Arabidopsis thaliana: one gene and its partners. The protein of the gene in region 2 binds, or shares a complex with, the protein of the main gene of each other region. Each region holds a gene or a part of one and is shown on either strand. Other genes may lie near its edges.

Region 1 (6,273 bases), on a different chromosome or scaffold from region 2:
GATCATCTGATTCATCGACTTCTTGTAATCTTCGAACGGATTGATTGATTCTTTAGCCATCGCGACGCTCTCATCGATCTTAGGACATGGGCTGCGTAAAACCGTGGGAGAAACCGGTGGTCCCGGGGTGTAGTGGCTGTGAGAGGAAGGTGGAACGGTAGAGCCGCAACCGCATGCCATAAAAATGGGTTTGAATATGGTTTTGAGTATATACTTCATCATCTTCTTGAAAGACATTTTTTTTTTTACTAGAGGAAGAGAAAACAAGTTGAGATTATTGAGTGAGGATGTTGGTGTGGGAAAGTTTGTTAAAAGAGGAACCTTTTTTTCATTTAACTTAGCTTGGAGATTCAGCATTGCTCATTGCTTTGGAGATGCACAATTTTGATGGATTTCTTTTTTAAGGAAAATAATACCATCTTGAGGTGAATTCAAAGTTATATATGATATCATTTGTAAGAAACTATCTCGAGTGATATCAAAGGATTGGACATAGAAACCGATTTGAACCAAAAAGAAATCTCTCAAACCACAACCGAACCAATATGTTTTCGTCAAGATTTTTGATGAACGGAAATATGTTTTAGTTTCGATCTGGTTACCTTTTTGGTAAACCGGAAATGGAGCATGTAAAACTACTAAGCACCCGTCTACAACTCTAAAAGGTTTTGCAGTTTCACATGAACAAGACCAATATTAAGAAATCAATGGGCTAAGGCTAATTCTATATTAAGCCTGAGAAGCTAACAAAGAAAAAAAATGAAGAATACAACGAAGGGGTTGGTTTCTCTACTTTTATTTTGCAATCTCTATTCTATGATAATGCAATGCAGCTACTGTACAAGTACAACATTAACTCTGGTTTCACCGAAATCAGATTCTATGTACAGATATATGGTGGTGCTTGTAATGTGGTATGGTAACTTCAGCTACCTGTAGGTGATCTCGTAGCAGTGGATTCTTCTGGTGTTGGGCTCGATGGAGTTTGTGGCTGCTCCAAGATTTTGTTGTCGCTCGGTCCAGCGTGGTCTTGATCAAATGTAATCATCTGGTTCCAGTCTGGTCCAGCTAATGATGAAAGAGTCAAGGAGCTCTAAACAGATATCATATTTGGGGAGGAAAAAACTCAAAAGCTCAAAGAGAGATTAGATTAAATCACAGAAAGTGATAGAAATCAAGGATACATTCATCTGGCCACATGTCTGTGATGCTGACTTCGCCTACCTCTGATCGAAACCAGTAATCTACACCCATCTGTATATAATGTAACATACAGGTAAATATGAATTAAGTCAAGCATGATTTTTTAGATATGGTTACTTTTCCAGACTGTGATTATGTACATTGGTGAAAATTTTAAGCTGAGGAAGCAGTTGGGACTTACATCCAAATCTGGAGGAACAATCTTCATGATACCATCGACAAAGTCATGAGATTCGATGTCAGAGTAAACTCTTTGCGTATCATCAACTTCCTGTGTTTCCATGTTTCTTTCGGTGCTTTCCTCTTTCATCGGCATAGATACATCATGGTTCTCAGGGAGACCAGATGTTGATGGAAGATTTGAAGGTACATCAGGGACATTAGAGGGTTCATCAGGAACATTTGAAGGTTCATCAGCCTGAGGAATGTCCTCAAAGCTCTCTTCGAATTGACTAAAAAAGCACAATATAAATGTCAGTCTCACTTCCATGTTACAGATTTATCCAGGGCAAGCATAACGTTTGAGGACAGTGTTACCTGACTAGGTACACGTCTATTGGTCCCATTGTGCTTCTCAGAATGATTCTGTACCTCCTCTGATAACCACCAGCCTGATTAATGGCAGGATAAGAGGTGAGAATCGTTACAGACAGTGCATCGCTCATTTGGTTTTGTGCGCTCTTAAGCTTACCTCATCAGGATCTGGAACCTCAAGAGTTGTTCCATGCGGTGCCTTTACAGCTATCAGCGTCTTATTCTAAAATAGGCACCACAAAAACATGTTTCCCCAGTGAGAAGAATGCAAGGCAAAGAGAAACACGTAATTACTAGAAGGAGACCAGACCTGGAAGCATGGTAGGTTCTTAATGTCGTTTTCAGTGACGAACAGTAACCTAAAAAGTGGAGCGTCAGAACAAACAGATATGTTTTATTGTACCTTTCGGCAGAAGAAATAGCAGGGGACGCTTACCTTTTGTTGTTTTCATCCTCACTCAAGCTTGTTAATCTTTCTTGTGATTCTCTGCAACCAGGTCGACTCTCAAAAAGATGATACAAAACAGCAGAAAAGGGAAGGAAAATTATCTGCGAAAATACCTGATTTGGTCATCTAATCTTGCCTCCTCAGCTGCGAGGTTTTGTACTTCATCCTGTAAGATTGGTAACAGGAATTATAAAACATGAATAGTTTTTCGAACCAAAAACCCAAAACAAGAAATCAATGCAAGTGACTGAGATCGAAGAAAAACTGCAGTACCAATTTCCACTTATTCAACAGGTTCAAACATAAAACAGAAACTCATCATTCAAAGGTGCCAGTACGGGTATACAAAACAGAGCTTGTGGTTACATGTCATCGATGTTTGTGTGTATGGTAAATTTACTAGTATCCTAGTTACCTCCTAACACATTTAGCTCTCAGAAAACAGGCATAACAAGAATCATACTAATGCAGATTCATACGATGTTCAAGAAGACAATGCAAGCTAAGATATACCCTTAACGTGAAAACAATAATAAAACTGGTGATAATACTGAGCATTGCATAACAGAGTTCGCAGTGAAATGTGCAATGAAAAGGTAAAGAATATATAGGCATGTTCTGTACCTGTAGGTTAGCTATGCTTTCGATTGTTTCTCCTGGTTTTGAGACATCGAGACCCCTAAGACAGACAAGAAAATTCAGAGTACTGTCGCTCACACATGAGTCATCAAATGGAAGGAATCCAAGATTTGACAGTTCTAAGACATGCTTACTTCCACTGAATCCTGTTCTTAAGCGTCTTCTCTATCAAACCTATTCCTTCTAACACATTGGTTATATCATATATCCTTCTCTTTTGTACCTGCATCAACAGGAACATACAGCTAAGTTTGACAGAAAGTAATACATCAATATGGGAGTCTAGAGTTCAAATATGTCACCTCTAAAGTATCAGCTGCTTTGTTTAGATCAAGAATACCATCCTCTGCTTGTTTTATCAAATTGATAAATTTCTTTGTCAAAAGACCTGAAGCAGATTAAATCATTAAAAAAACTTATTATCCAAAAGTACATTTTTTAAACATTAGTTAATGAAATAAGTTATTACCTAACGAACTATCATATCGACAAGTACCGGCCTGTGCAAAGTTATTTCCAGGAGAACCTGCCAACACAAAAGATCCTTCTCACTACATTGCAATATCTCCACTCTTTAAAGAAGATTTAGCTCAGATGAGCACATAAGAAATATTTCTCATTGGCATACTAACACAGAGCATTTAGAACCAAACTCACCTGCATTAGAGCCAGAAGCTAGCGTTCCAGACTTATTAGACTTCGCAGACCTAGAAGTTTTCTTGGCTTTCCCCCCTTTCCCTGATACAGGTGTTTGAAGAACACCGGTATTCAATTCATTGACCTCAACTATTTGGTTTACCAAATCTGTCTTACGCTTCAGCTGCCAATAAAGTCACCAAAATTGAACAGTTAAATACATCAACGAATTGAACAGAATCAAATCCTATCAGCATCATACTGTCACTATGCTGAAATCTAAAAGCATAGACACAACTTTTACCAATTCCAACATAGCAAAATTCAGAAACTAATTTAACTAAACATAAACACAAAAGTGCATGAATCTGCTCTAAATAGCAATAACAGTAACACCACAAACCCTAAGTCCAGCAACTAAACTACTCAATAAGTACTTGCAATGCTAATTCCAATACTACAAACAAGGTTAATCAAAAGAGACCAAACGCAATTAACACCAACAGAAGCAGATCCCGACACAATTCTCATCAAAATCTAAAGCAACGACATCATCAAAATCATAATCAATAAAACCAAACCTCACACACAATCGAAAACACGAGAATTATAAAGCAAAATTCACAAGCAAAATTGAGAAGAAAAAAGACTTACAGTAGATTTGATCACAATCGCGTCAGAGACAACCTGATCAGCAACAGCTCCACCACCGCGAGTCTCCGCCGCATCAAACCGGTGATACTCACCAGGAGCAACTAGAGGAGGCTTCATAGAAGAAAGAGAAGGATGAAGCTGCCGCTTAGAAGATGGGAATTGTTGAGGTACTTCTTCAGACATAAGAACGAATCTCGATAAAAAATCCCCCAAAAAAAAAAAGAAACGGCGAAAATTGTCACGGAAACTCGGATCTCCGGTAAGCAGAGATCCCAATAACGATTAAGAAGCAGATCTACGGCGGGAATTACGGAGATTCCGGGAAGAGAATGTGAAGAGATCGGCGAATCGAAAAAAAGCGGGAGAGGAGAAGAAGATGAAGAAGAGGAAGGATTATAAAAAAAAAAAAAAAAAGAGACGGTGGAAGAGGAAGAGAGAAAACGAGGGAATGAGTTGCGTTTGGTTCTGAATACTGATGTGGAGGGAATTAGCGCTCTTTATCTCTCTCTTTGTACACAAATCTTTTTACCAATATCTCTCTACTAAATAATAATAATCCTATTTTTATATATAATACAAAATTATAAAATTTTAAGTAAGTTTTTTTTTTTTTAAAGTCAACGAAGTTAATAAAGCTATGTAACTAATTTGGATACAGTTTTATTTCCTTGAGATTGAGGGGAAAAAAATGAATTTTGGATTTATTCATGTTAAGAAGTGGAGCATAATAATTTCATCAAACTGTTGCAGCATCCGTTACACGCGTTAAGTGTGAGCAATTATCGTCAAAATCTGTCGAACTTATACGTTTTTTTGTTTTTAATTCATAGGTGAGGCAAAACTATATTGATGAAAATTATGCTCATGAGTGTCTCATCATTTAACAACTTTTTTAAATGGAACCTCGAAACATAGGGATTCCAAATCATAGCACCAAGACAATAGAAACATGTGTCGTCTGAATGCAGACACTTGGATCTCTTATGAATGCTATACTGTTTAGAGAAGATAATATATATTTATAGACTGAGCTTCCAAAACACAAGCTTTAAGTATGACTGTATGAGTAATCAAAAAAGATACTAAGACTTTGAAAGCTTCATACATAACAAACAGAGACAACAATAGAAGAACCCCTTTTTACTTGAACAAATGGGCAAGATCAGGGTCATCTAAATCTACATCAAGCGATCCATTTAACCGCATAAACTCGATGTAGCTATCTGGAGGAGTGATCGCACGAGTGTTGTTCTTCGGTTTGAATCCATGAACTCTCTGGAGATCTCTTGCGAGCCAACGCAGAAAAACTTTGTCCAATGGAGGTACAATCTTCAAATGGATCTCTTCGCGTTCTTCTTTCACCGTTGTAGCTTTGTTTCCCATCTTGCAAAACCCGATCTTTACATACATCATATATAGTATCGTCACATTGTCCAAACCACAAAAACAAGTTATCTAGTCAACAAGATGATTATGCAACACTTTTAGCAGATGCATTTTGGGATTAACACTTAACACAATCTATAATTTCTCCATGCACACCAATATTGCAAGTGTGTAACATTTACATGTTCGGATGCAAATTATCTCGTGAATAACACAATCGTCAATTCGTCATAACCATCTAAAAGGAGAGACTAAAAAGTTCTATAGAAGCTATACACTAACCTTAAGGACCATCAAAACCTTAATTAAGAGACCAAACTATTATACATCAACCAAGTAATCATCTCAGCGTCCATTTTTAAAGCTATCTTTGTTCCACTATGTCCAAGAATCATAAGATCCTCGAGCAAATAAATTGTACAAGATGAGACATCTATGAACCACCAATTCAAGGTCAATTCTTCAAGATGATTAACATGATAATATCAATTAGAAATCAACTCATTCATGAATACTAAGTCTACATTTAAAACCCCTAAATCAATGAGAAAACTGGAGAAATTACTTCAAATTTCTATCATCACTATATACCCAAAAAATCAGGTAAAATCCTAGCCAGCAAATTAAGCTTAGCGATATGATATAGATTCAAGAGATTTTACCTTTTTCAATCAGAGAGACAAAACATCAGAAACCGAAAGTGAGTCGAAGAATTTCTGACCAGACAGACACTATAGAGCGTTTTGCAGAGCTAAACCAATGTCGTATCGCTA
Region 2 (7,627 bases):
TTTACATTGTTCATTGTAGGAATCTTGGGTTTGTAGTATAGGCCTAACAATACATTTTGATTGTACAATAACCTTTAGATCAACAGTAATAGCATCATAAAAGGATTAGTATTAACTTCCAAGTCCTATAAAAGAAGAATCTGTGTCTACACAATATCATAATACAAACTTTGCTGGTTTTTAATGGTTTTATGAATCAGTATCATACCTGAACATTGTGAAAAATTCTTAGCATTTAACAGAACAAGAAGAAAATCACTTGGTTCATCATGAGGACGAGAACTTTTGGAGTTACAAGTTAATTACTTGAGAACAAGTTACTTTTTCGCTATTTAATCAATGGTATGATGTCCAGAGTTGAGAGATCTACACATTTAAAAAAATTAGAAACAAGAAAATTGGACAAGGAGGGAATAAAAAAGACATACACATATGGGATCAAAAAATTGAAGGCGAGACTCCCTTCAGAACTCTATGAACAAAACCACCCTTCTCTATCTGCAACTCTTCAAAAGGTAAGATGATGGGCTTGAGTAGCCTCCCGGAGAAGCCGAAGGTACCTTAGCTTTCCCTGGTGTCCCACAATCGCTGAAGTCTAAGGCGCGACACTCCACCTGCATTCCACAGAGAATTGGTTCACAGTACGTCAATTTATAAACTCAAAACTGTTATTCCTTTTAATCTACCAAGTTCAAGATCCAATTTCAACATTAAGCTAGACCAGGTGTATTGATTAGAGGACTTGATCAATTTGAAACTTATTGAGAGTTTGTATGATATATAAGGTGTAAGTTGAAGCTGAAACCTGGGATCGGTTCCCAAGCTGATCATGAGGCTGGTGCTGATTTTCTTTCCCTTGAATGGACTTGTTCAGCTGTCTCTTCTTGAGTATCGATTCAGGTGTGTCATTACCCAGAACTTCCAAGGCATCTGCATATGCCGTAGCTGAGTGTTCACTCAAATGCTTCATCAGTCCTATGGCATCATAACTTCTCTCGCCGGGACTCATAAAACACCCAATATCCTGGGAAGAAAAAATGATAAACAACAAAGAAGATACGTCCATTAACAGGCGCTTCAACTTAAAACAAAAAGTAAAACATCCAGAAACTAAATTTATTCCATCTCATATTTACCTCAAATGTGATTTCTGGAGGCAACTTTGGACTTTGCAAGAAAGAACCAAAGAGTAAAGGAGATTTCCAAGGTGATGGGGTATCAAGGAGTTTTCTGAACGGAGTTCCATCAAATCTGGAAAACGAGTTGTACCAAGACAACTTAGGTTAGAACTTTCGAGCTAATATGATTCAATAGCAAAATGAGCTATCAAACACATACAGAGGAAAAGTAAAACTTACATGTTGAAGTTTTCAATATCAAAGCTGGTCTCTGCAGTGTTAGTTTTATCGATTGCAGATAAAGGAATAGAGTCCACTGTGCATAGAGGTTCTGATGACATTTCTTCTGTTGGAAAATCACCTAATGATATTTTGTGCTGGTTTGATAGATCTTTCGCACTTGCATTAACTTTGTTATCTGGTCTAGCTCGAGTCATACCAGGAGAACACAGTCGTAACTCAAAAAAACTTCCAGAAGTTTCTTGGTCCTGGTACAAGGGCAAGTAAGAGATTTAGAGATTAAAGCTTATAAGATTACGTTATGGAGATTTAGACCAACTATAAAACTATAATCCTCTACAAAGACAGCTGAAATAACTAGATGCTATCTGTTTGAGCAAATGTGATTGATACGATCTCACATGAAGAGAATTCAACATACTAGATGATGTGTTAAGCAACAAGAAGTTCACTAATAGACTCAATAACCATGTACCAGACATTGCACCTTACAGCTATAGACATCAGAGAATGAGATGACTGGGATTTTATAACTGATACCAGATAATATGCAAGGACAAAGACGGACTTACATTTTTAGCTGAAGCACCACCGTCATTACATCCATTTTCATTTTGCATAGAAGTCACTCCACCTGATTCTAAGGTTTCCTTTGGTTCCTCATCTATCGGAATCATTTCTTGATATAACCGAGCTGATGCACAATTTCTGTTATCTCTGGCTATGGAAGGGGAGGCACATATATTTTTATCTTCAGGAGACTCTGACGGACGAGAGGTCATGCAATCATCTCCTTCATCAAGCATTACATCTAAGCGCGAAAAATCATTAGCCAAGGAGGAAGTCGCAGCCCTTTTAAGCTTTTTGTCTTTTCTTCTATCAAGCACAGGTGAAAGCAAGTCTCGATGCCGCTTCTTTAAGATGGATGGTGCACCACTAAAACTTTTGGCAGTATCATTAAGCATGACATCAGGGCTCCTATCGTGACACGGTGAATCCCATAACCTTAACGGAGTTGTACAATTCATTGAAGAAATCATCAACTGACGGATACCAAAGGGACTGTACTCTTGCCGTAAGTCACTATTTGATGGTACAAGATCACAGCTGAAGAAAGGAATATCTGCACTTGGAAAACGTGGAGGTTCATAACAAAGAGCTCCTTTGTCTTTTTCAGCCGGCTTATCGTCAATAGGAAAATAAATCTTGTTCACTCTAGAAGGAGAAGAAAAACTATTCAAAGGTACTAGCTTCAAAGAATCCTTGGGAATATATGACAGCCCCTGTTGTTCTGGGAAACCACCATTATCATCATTGCCATGGGAAGTTACATGTCCGTAAGTATCGATGAAACCGTCATTTGTATCAGTCTTACATTCTAATTCGGTAGCTCCAAAAAGGCGACAACCTTGTATAGGAGCGTTGGAATCATTACGGGGTAAAAGTGAGTCCTTCAAGTCTGAATCCAACAAAGGGACACAATTATGACCCGCCAGGCCCTCAGAACTTGAAGGATGCCACGGTAAAGCTGGAACTTTTCCAGTTTCATGAGCATGGGTTTCTGCAGCCTGAGAACAAAGAGATCCTTTGCCGTTTTGAGGGTCAACCATATTCCGACCTTGCTCACCAGAAGATGTACTGCTATCTTTCATGTTATCTGGAAAAAGAACCCTACAACACTCCTCATCCGTGATCAAAGTTTGAGCTTCTGGATCTGTGTCCGAGTTTGACAAAAAAGGTTGATCACTTAATCTTACTGAACTTTGAAAATCTTGTTGAAGTGCTTGGTTTTTTCCACCGTTGTCCATGTTATGGGTCAATAACTCTAGACCACGGTCCTGTTTAGCATCATTAGATACACCCGGCAATTGATCCTCCGTAGCTGTGGTAGTTCTTAGCTCGTGAGAACAATTAAGATTCTGAAACTTCTTCGAACATTCTGTTTCACAAGAAATTTCGGGGACAACAATTTTGACATCTTTAAAGGAAGGGTAGTACGGTTCTGCATGAGATGCAGCGTTTGAGATTTGCTGCTCCGTTCCTGAATGAAATTCAGGCATGTAATATTCCTCATTTCCACGTTGAACTTCATCTTGTAAATCGTTGGTTGATTGTGAGAAAACAGTTGAAGCTTGGCTGCATTCTGATTCCTCAGCATCAACCCCTGGCCTTGAACTACCTTCATCTCCATTGCTGTGCATCCACGAGGAAGATGAAGCGATAGATTTGTTCTGAAGGGCAATTAATGGCGAGCTTTGACACTGATCTAAAAGACCTGATGCATAGTAGGAATCCAACTTCTTCTTAACTGAGCTGTTCCAATGATTTTTTATCGAATTATCTGACCTACAGGAACGTAAGAAAAAATAAGCAAATCACCAAAGCAGGAACGATAGACCACAACTACCAGCATCAAAAACCTATTATTTCATTTATGAGGCCACCAATTTTACGGACATGTTACACCTATGTTGTTATACTAGGACCCATGGAAAAGACATATTTACCTTCCTGGCAAAAATTTCATAAGCTCTGCCCATTTATTCCCATAAATTTGATGCGCACGAATAAGAGTCAGTTCCTCTTCCTGAGTCCATGCATTTTTATTAATCCCAGGGTTAAGATGGTTATGCCACCTACATCACCCACAATATTGTTTATGTGCGTTGAAGTACCACCCAATGTATGTAAATATCATTTTATCGGAAAGAAGTTGAGAGCCTTTGCATTACCTTTCCCTACATTGCTTTCCTATGCGCCCAGGTAAATGCTGAGATATAGTAGACCATTTCTTTGGCCCATATTTTTCAACCAGGTCAATTATTGTGTTATCCTCCTTCAAAACATGGAAAAGTAATGTCATGGAACACATTACAAATGCTAAGGTGTATTAGACTCAAACCGAGTAAAGCATATAAAGCAATTCACAAAATCACCTCTTTTGACCACGGTCCTTTCACAAGCTCTGGGTTCAAGACCTTTTGCCATCTATGAAGACACTGAACATCAGTCCGATCCTTAAAACATTCAGCTGAAAAGGTGAATCAAATAAAACCACATATTACTTTCACCGTACTAACTAAAGACTACAAATAAACATGGCAGCTAAAGTAGATTATTATTGATATGATCTTAACATACGCTGGAAAAACAAACTGGGAAAACAAGAAGAAATCAGAATTTGCTATTCGATTTACCTATCTTCTTCCAGTTCTTTCCTTGAAAACGCTCAACAGCTTTACACAAGACTTCGTCCTGATCCAGAAAAACAGAATTGATACAACAGAAAACTTCATAGAGACGAATTCTTCAATAGATGCAAAGGATAGCTAATGTCAACTAGTTAAATGGAACTGTGCGAAGCAACAATAGGGTGTTACAGAGACAACTGATTAAGCTCAGGCAGTGTTCCAGGATACATAATATGAAGCATGGAAGAATCAGATAGACAACAAAAAAGACACAGGAACGGAACGCACCTCTTCAGGTGTCCATTGTCCTTTGGTAGATCGTCTAGCAGGGCCAGATGTCCTCCTATGAAAATGTCACAAAGAGCTTGCATCATTATTAACCTGAGAATGTCTAGTTGAATGCAAAATTTGGTGCCAAAAGCAATCCAACTTCAACATTGAAACCCAATAGAAGAAAAGGAAGAGAGATGTAAGCGTACCCTTGTTTTCCTTTGAGGTCACCTTGGAGACTCTCTAGTGGAGTAGTAGGTGCTTTCATCTCACGCTTCATAGTTAGCAAGGAAAGCAATATGAAAAACCCCAAAGTCCGTTTCTTTGATATGTCTTAGAAATCATCATAAGCGAAGCACATTGCTGTAATTTGAAACAAAGATAAACCATAAAATTAAAAACACAGTCGGACTCAGACTAAGAATCAGCATTAGCTTCACAGCAAAAGAGCAAACTAAAGTCAAAACAAGGAAGAAGTTCACAGAATGAAGAAGGTAGCTTTAGATATTGAGATTGGATCCAAAAAAACCTAAGATAAGAAGCCCGAATTAGTTTCAGAACCCAAAACAAAAACCTCGAGAAAAAAGCTTCGAACATCATCTGAAGAAAATCGAAACTTTATACGAAAAAAAGTAAGAGAAGTTCAAAGAGTAGATTTTTGAAAAATCAGGAAGAAGTCTCCGTGAAAACTAACAAAAATGTGACCATAATAAGAGAAGGAGACGAGGTCATACGAGTAAAGCTCACACCTTGCAGATCAACGAATTCCAAAATTAATCTGAAGTAATTAAGACGCTGAGAATCCAGATGAAGAAGAAGAAGAACACAAATCGAAATCGAAGTCGAGAGAGAGAGAGAGAGAGAGAGAGAGAGAGAGAGAGAGAGAGAGAGAATGAGAGAGAGAGAGAGAGGTATTCAAAACTCAAACATGGAGAGGCGGACGGAATTCGAAGTGAGAGAGAGAGAGAGAGAGAGAGATCAAAACAAAAAGGAAAGTGATCTCAGCCGTTGATTTCAATCTCTGAATCTCGCTTTTTAGTCTCTCATATCATAAAAGTTCAATTTATTTATTTATACGTTTCTTCATTCATTTTTCTTTCGAGATTCTCTGTTGCTTCTTCTTCTAAACAACGGCAAAGCATTCTTTGTATGAAAGAAGAGTTTTTTTCTCATTAAAAAGGAAGAAGATGAAATTGCCAGTAACAGCTAATTCTAAAATCAGCATAAAAACCTAATAACAATGTAGACAAAGTCAAACGAGAAGACCAAGAAGAATACCAAAACTATTTGATTTTCAAAATTAATTTTAACTACTTCAAGTAAAATAGTGTCATCATCAGTGAGTCAATTGATACAGTTGTAGAATTTACAGGAATATACTTTTAGCAGTTAATATTAATAGTTTGTCTTTTAGAATGCTTCCTAAACATCGATTTAAAATAATTAAGGAAAGAGATGTGTGCATAAGAAGGCACATAAAGCTAAACAAAACAATACCAAATATGACTAAACCAAAATTTGCCAAATAAGCAGCTATTTCTAGTTATAACATCACGAGTCACCAGTCGATACATTAAATTTAAAGTTGCAACTAGAAATATATTGAAAAACAGAAGCAGTCACGAGCGAAATCTCTCATGCTTCCACCTTCTGAGATTTGTTCCAGCGACCACCCGGTGAATCTGATCCCCTCTTTCTCCCGAATCTCCCTCCTCTTCTTCCTCCCCTGCATAGACCAAGTATATTATTATCTGAAGAACCAAACAAAAACTTCATTTGAAACAAAATCATAACAAAGAAACCAGAACAAAAACATGAACTCACCTTCCTCCACGGCCACCCTTGTCAAACCGATCTTTGCTTCGTAGGAGAGTCCAATACTCCTTTTCAGCTTCGCCTGACAGAGAGCAATATAAACAAGTGACCATTTAACTAAAGCAGAACACAAGGTTTAGTTATAAGATAAGATTGAAGTTGAAAAGGTGTTTTTACCAATAACAGGTTCTAGGACAGCAATAAAATTCTTCACGGCTAGTCCACCTTCATTGGCTAATACTGCTGCTGCACGGGCTTTCTGGGATGCTTCAGGTTCATCAAACCTAAGATAACCCGTCTCAGATCCCATCTTGAAATCAACAAACTTCACAACAAAAAGAATAAAGGAATCAGTGAAAATGATGTCAGTTATATGAGATATTGAATCTGATTCATGTTGACAGACAGCTAAGTAAAACTCAAGTAGTACCTTGACATCACCAAATTTTCCGAAAACAGCCTTAAGATCTTCACGTAAGACAACATCCTTATTATCTTTATGGGTGGCTAGAGCACCCTTTTCTTCTTTCTCATCATCTTCATCCTCTGCTCCCTCGGCCTGAACCTCACCAGTGTTTTCTTTATCAGCATCAGGAGTATCTGCTGGCTTTGTTTCACTTTCTTCCATTGTCTTATCAGTTGGCTCCTCAGAACTTTTTTGTTCCGTGGTACCCTCTTCAGCTGAACGCTTGAGGGTGAATGAAATGATCAAACCCTTGGGATAACTACAATACGATAAAATAGCCATAATCAGATCAAGAGGATTATTAGCATGAAAAGACAAGTAATTAGATAGCAACAGTCAAACCCCTACTCTGGCTCATAAGCAGAATTGTTTTTGTGATCAGAACCATTCTTCTGATTTGCAGATCCCTTCTGAGGTTGGTAATTAGCAAATTTTACTTCATCCTTCTCCCTTTCATTATCAAACTCTTTCCTGAAAAGAATATATCACCTTTTAAGTAACCCATCCAAACATTCAATGGAAAGACT
Region 3 (5,396 bases), on a different chromosome or scaffold from region 2:
GTGGGTGAGTTTATATAGCAGAATTATATCCAACAATGTATATTAGGAAAATTATCCTCTGAAAGGCATTCCTTTTTTTTTAGGGTACGTTTTACTGTTTTAGGCAGTTACTTCTAGGCAAGAGTTATGCCATTTAACGAAAAGTATTGCTTGGGATCCAAACAAGCACCATATTTAGGGATCCACCAAGATATCAATGTCCAATGTGGTCATGATTAACTCATGAATGACATCAAACATGATATGATCTAACTCATGAATGACATCAAGCTTTGTAAAGTTGATACTTCTTTTCCACAAGATATTTTTCTCTACTAGCGTTCAAGACTTCGAGCTTTGAAACTAAATGTAACAAGATGAGAGATTAACTAGTTTTCAATTTGGAACCATTCGTTTTTTGACATGATTCTGACAGAAGTAACGTTTGATATTGTCCAAATCAGGTGGTTCGTAAATGATGCTTTGTTTCTGTTTGAACATGCAAATTGTAACCTATGGACCCAAAGTGTCAAAAAGATTAATTTCAAAGTTCATTATAAACACATGTTACAAAAACAGATGTATGCATTGACATGCAAAAGGCCATTAAGTATAATTATATATCTAATTAGAGTACAAGTTTTTTCACATAATTGCCACATCCCTTGAATGACCTTAAAATATTGCATCTTTTATTTTTATAAGGAAAAAAATCTATTAGGATTTCAGGCTCAAAAGGGGTAGTAAAATGTAACAGAAAATTCATCCTCATCCTAGTAATTGGGAATTTGAGGTTTCAAACAACTTTGTTTCTCAGCTGTTGAAGTTGCTCCATAAATCTGTGAGGCTCACCTCTGCATCTGACTCGAACCAGTAATCTGCTTTTAACTGGCAATACACAACCAAAAATTCAACTTAATCGCAACATACGAAATGCGAGACTGATCCCAAAACCCATATCAGTGGATCTAAATACTTACATCAGTATCTGAAGTTACTATTTTCAAGGAAGGAGTGTCTACTCCAACTGGAGCTTTTTGATCAGACTCATTACCCAACTTGTCGCTTGTTTCCGCACTGTCTCCTTTGTATTTGCTGCGATCATGTTTGTTCCCAGTTATTAACACTGACTGACAAATATATAGATAAGACCAGACACAGAGAGTGGAATGTGTAACTAAGTACCTTAAAAGATAGACATCAATCGGCCCCATTCTACTCCTAATCACCATCCGGTACTGTTGCGGAAAACTCATCTATCGTGAACAAAAACAGATGCTTTACTTTGTGACACATTATATTACAACTGTACAGCAAATATGAAAGCATTAAAAACGCTCACCTCATCAGGATCTGGAACTTCGATGTAACTAGCTGTAGGAGCTTTAATTGCTAGTAATGTCTGGTTCTGTATAAGGACTACCAGTTTAGTATGTTAAATAACTGAGGAAAACATAAGATGATTTTCAAGAACTAGTTGGGGAGGACCTGAAACCGTGGGAGACTCGTTATATCTTCCTCCGTCATAAACATGTACCTGTTTATTTCCATCATTGATCTTAGCAACACTCTCGTGTATATACAAAAAGATGAAACTCAAATAAACTGACGAATACCTTCTACAGTAGTCATCTTCCTCCAAGGATCTGAGAGCTTCTTGTCGTTCCCTGGAGATACATAACATGATGATCTTCAAACCATGTGGGAAAGGAACAATGGATAAGTCTCCAAACATAATATAAGAACACAAGCAACCAACCTTATAAGATCATCCAACCTGCTTTCCTCAGATTGCATACTCTCTACTTCTGACTGAAAATACGTAGATATGTAACCGGTCAGTAATGGGGAATTTGAAAATAACTGTGTGAAATAAACTATAAGACAGAAAAATAATGAAATCATGAATTTGACAGATTATTTGCATAGCAGTAAGTTCTACGACAAAGAAAACACGTGAAAATGCTTGTCACAATGAACCTTAAGCCTAGAAATTTGATCTCCCAGGTCCTTTTGTCCAAGATTGTCAGCACCCCTGCATCAATAGCGCATACACAAAGTCAGACGAACTCAAGCTATATACGCTGCAATGTATCCAAGAAAGAAAAAATTTGTGTACTTACTTCCAGCGGATATGATTCTTTGTAGTTTTCTCTATCAATCCAATTCCTTCAAGGACATTTGTAATATCATATATCCTTCTTTTTTGTACCTGTTAAGAGGGATCGCAGGAACACGTAAGCACATAAGAGGAGATCCTAACAAGCTGATGAAGATAACTAGGGAGATATCAAACAGTTAAGGCAAGGGTTATAAAGGTGAGTGATCTTTTTAGTCCACGTTCTTAATTAGATCTTCTACGAGTTGAGACATACATTTTTAACTTAAATATTAAGATACATTTAGCATACCTCCAAAACAACTGCACAATAGTTAAGGTCAAGTGTTCCATCCTCAGCTTCCTGGATCAACTTCACGAATTTTTTTGTCAACAACCCTATCAAACAAAAGAGACACCGATACAATTACAGTTGTTATCTCCATACAAACATGAACCTTAGTAAACAGAACTATTAGTTACCTAAAGAACTGTCATAACGGCAGTTAATACTAGCTCCATTTAAGCCACCATTTTGCACTTCTGCACAAAAAAACTCATTCACAACAATGCTGAATACAAACAGATTCTTATTTTCAATACATATCACATTCTAAGAGCTAGCCAAAGAGATTGATCAGAAAAAGCAGATACCGCCATTCGCCATTCGTTTCCCAGCCTTTAACAGTTTAGTACCACCCTTTGACTTGTTGTATACACGTTTAACATTTTGAGGAGACGACTCTTGTTTCACTATTACTTTAGCTATATCTATGCTTTCTCCTCCAGACATGTTGGCAATAGATCCAAGCTGAATTCGATGATTCTTTCTACTCTTCTGCTGCAAATTAAGAAAAGATCAACTCAATAGCATTACAATCACCAAAACGAATCTAAATTCGCAAATTGAGATTAGAGAATTGAAAGCTAGAGATCCAATTTTGGATTAAGTTTCCCTTAATGAAACCAAACTTCATTCAATTTTTGTTTTCGCGAAATTTGGGAATCAGAATTAAACCTAGCTATCGCAAAATCAAGTTCGGAAATGGAATCAAAATCAAAGAAGGAATCTACGAGGACTTGAGTAAACGAAGAGACTCACAACTTTCTGAGTGATTTGAGAGTAAGAATCGTCCCAGTGAGGTGAAATTAGAGGAGACAGTTGTGAATTCGGAAGCGATTGAGAGACTGAGAAAGGTCGATTCGTTGAAGAAGGAGTTAGAGAAGAGTAACGAGGATCAGAGGAAGAGATAGATTGAAGTAATTCGAAGCGAAAAGGAGATCGGTGATGGTAAGAGAGAGTCGGATCTTCGCCTGAGTTTGATGTCGCGGCCATGTAACGGCGGTGTATCTCCGGTGGTAGAGAAGATGGGATTTAGAGTGATTTTTTGAAGCGATTTTGGAGAATCGTGATTTAGGTTTTTGTGGGGGAAGATGAAGAAGGAGAAGAGGGAAGATGGAGAAAAAGATGGAGAGAGAAGAGAGGAAACAGCGGGAAGAAGAGGAAGGGTAAAAGTGTCTTTTTGTTGTATTAAAAAGATTAATATAAGAAAGAAATATTGGAATTATGTTAAAAGAGCGGTGGGCGAAAGAAGTTGGAGAGAGTTTCGAATTCTGCCTAAGCCCCGCCTAACTTCTTCCGCTTATTATTTTACTCTTTTGACTATTTGTTGGGCTTGGTCTTGGGCTTGGTCTTGGGCTTGAATTGGGCTTAATAATGTTACGACGTTTACATATCTTCTAGAGCTTCATACTTTGTAGCTTTATGTTAATGATCGACATTCATGGTTCACGAATCTATAAATACGGAGTCTCGGCATTGCTAGATTGAGTTTACAGGGGAGTCCTAATCTCCGAGGTCCATCTGCACCAATAAACTCTATGAACGGCCCAAATTTGGTCCAGTTATCATACCAAAAAGTAGTTTAGAGTTCATGGTCTTTGCCAAAAGGTAGAAATTAGAATGAATTTCTAAACCCATGATTCATTTTGTTTCTCTGGTATCATTTTTCTAGCTTTTTTTCTTTAATATTTTCATAAAAACAATTGAAGAATGAAGAGTGCTTCTGCATAGTTGAGTACTTGAGTAAGTGATATCTAATTAATATCAAATTATGTGAAAATTATACCATCTTTTATGAAGTCGTACTATATATGTATATATGTTTTTTTGTCTATCTTAATATATGTTTATGGGTCTGATTGGTAACCAAAAGTTGTTAACTCTACTACAGGTATTAAGCTGTACAATAAACTAAGAGTAAAACTTTGTAACGCTTAGTACCGTTTTGTAAAGTGGTTACCAATCAAAACCTATATTAGGTTATAAGGAAGCGATGGGTGCATTGACGACAAACACACAAACTTGGTGTATAGCGCTACACAAGGGACTGTTTTTTTTTTCATTGTATTATTACCAATTGCATCATGTAACAAAAATAGGAATTCAAAATACTGAATTAATTAATCATGATTTTGAATAAACAAAACATATTAAAGGAATGTAAATATAATTGAGTTATTTCAAAGAGTTTTCGTATCGCATAAGTTTGATACCTTAACTTGTTTTCGTAAAACTGGACAAATATGACGAGAAAAAATCCCTTCATGATATCATGATGGCTTAAATCAACGTAATTTCCATTAGTTTAGATCTGAGAGACTGAAACATTGGTGTACCAAACAATGTAAAACACACATTTTCGTCCCTATGGCATGTGACAACTTTTTAGCCAAAAAAAAGAAAGAGTATTTTATTTAGAAAAATATTTGTGAAGACATATTATCCACATTTTTAAAATTTATTGTAGCCATGGATCAGAAAAATTATATTATATTTTAGTTTAACTGTGACAAACAAACAAAACAAGATTATCCATATAAATGTAAGTTCGTCTAGATATTCATACAGAAAAAGTTTGTCTAGTTGCATTTTTGTTGTCCTAAATTTCAAGTGCACTAACGCGAAATCTACTTCACTTGTCATGGTGCAGTAAGAAAAAAACAGTAAATAAAAAATGAAAAAAATATGGAAACACTAAAAAAGAATTTACAATAGTCGATAGCATTTTTATTTGTTTACTTTGGTTCCTTTTTTCTACTTTTATACAAAAGAAAAGGTGAGGAGGAATTTATAGCCTCTAAAAGTGATCTTACAAGTTATCTAACGTTGTTTTTTTGGTAAGAAGTTATTTTTATTATAACTCCTACCATTTAGGTAATTAACTTCCTTAGGCTTAAGAGTTTTCTACAACTATTAGATTTTAACCCGTAGTACACCATGAAGATTTTTTTTTTTAAAATTAGTATATATAAAAGT

The links. Proteins that work in one complex are often made in the same cells at the same time.
Region 1: PC-MYB1 (region 2) and E2F1 share a complex: the UniProt entries of both Arabidopsis thaliana proteins name them as parts of the DREAM-like complex.
Region 3: PC-MYB1 (region 2) and ATE2F2 share a complex: the UniProt entries of both Arabidopsis thaliana proteins name them as parts of the DREAM-like complex.

Annotation. Positions count from the first base shown.
Region 1 is NC_003076.8:7,358,773-7,365,045, reverse strand, and holds E2F1 (E2F transcription factor 1), read right to left. Parts: upstream 4,512-6,273; 5' UTR 4,298-4,511; coding exon 4,115-4,297; intron 3,645-4,114; coding exon 3,482-3,644; intron 3,351-3,481; coding exon 3,294-3,350; intron 3,213-3,293; coding exon 3,127-3,212; intron 3,048-3,126; coding exon 2,959-3,047; intron 2,865-2,958; coding exon 2,810-2,864; intron 2,352-2,809; coding exon 2,299-2,351; intron 2,225-2,298; coding exon 2,174-2,224; intron 2,097-2,173; coding exon 2,048-2,096; intron 1,961-2,047; coding exon 1,895-1,960; intron 1,815-1,894; coding exon 1,741-1,814; intron 1,656-1,740; coding exon 1,385-1,655; intron 1,255-1,384; coding exon 1,185-1,254; intron 1,069-1,184; coding exon 926-1,068; 3' UTR 541-925; downstream 1-540. Other genes in the region: OFP10 (Ovate family protein), read right to left, coding at 1-357; AT5G22210 (aspartyl/glutamyl-tRNA (Asn/Gln) amidotransferase subunit B), read right to left, coding at 5,255-5,497. UniProt on the Arabidopsis thaliana protein: Transcription activator that binds DNA cooperatively with DP proteins through the E2 recognition site, 5'-TTTC[CG]CGC-3' found in the promoter region of a number of genes whose products are involved in cell cycle regulation or in DNA replication.
Region 2 is NC_003075.7:15,788,511-15,796,137, reverse strand, and holds PC-MYB1 (Homeodomain-like protein), read right to left. Parts: upstream 6,006-7,627; 5' UTR 5,569-6,005; exon of another isoform or gene 5,554-5,568; intron 5,183-5,553; 5' UTR 5,100-5,182; coding exon 5,029-5,099; intron 4,893-5,028; coding exon 4,838-4,892; intron 4,614-4,837; coding exon 4,556-4,613; intron 4,390-4,555; coding exon 4,295-4,389; intron 4,195-4,294; coding exon 4,091-4,194; intron 3,995-4,090; coding exon 3,866-3,994; intron 3,705-3,865; coding exon 1,931-3,704; coding exon of another isoform or gene 1,886-1,930; intron 1,607-1,885; coding exon 1,359-1,606; intron 1,252-1,358; coding exon 1,137-1,251; intron 1,025-1,136; coding exon 806-1,024; intron 615-805; coding exon 495-614; 3' UTR 222-494; downstream 1-221. Other genes in the region: La1 (La protein 1), read right to left, coding at 6,455-6,545, 6,644-6,716, 6,812-6,959, 7,065-7,359, 7,449-7,571. UniProt on the Arabidopsis thaliana protein: Transcription factor that binds 5'-AACGG-3' motifs in gene promoters. Transcription activator involved in the regulation of cytokinesis, probably via the activation of several G2/M phase-specific genes transcription (e.g. KNOLLE).
Region 3 is NC_003070.9:17,632,954-17,638,349, reverse strand, and holds ATE2F2 (winged-helix DNA-binding transcription factor family protein), read right to left. Parts: upstream 3,654-5,396; 5' UTR 3,414-3,653; coding exon 3,180-3,413; intron 2,919-3,179; coding exon 2,732-2,918; intron 2,621-2,731; coding exon 2,561-2,620; intron 2,477-2,560; coding exon 2,391-2,476; intron 2,192-2,390; coding exon 2,103-2,191; intron 2,015-2,102; coding exon 1,960-2,014; intron 1,792-1,959; coding exon 1,739-1,791; intron 1,647-1,738; coding exon 1,596-1,646; intron 1,517-1,595; coding exon 1,468-1,516; intron 1,388-1,467; coding exon 1,322-1,387; intron 1,236-1,321; coding exon 1,165-1,235; intron 1,075-1,164; coding exon 960-1,074; intron 868-959; coding exon 793-867; 3' UTR 541-792; downstream 1-540. UniProt on the Arabidopsis thaliana protein: Involved in transcriptional repression. May act by repressing E2F-regulated genes in mature differentiated cells, but is not an antagonist of E2FA.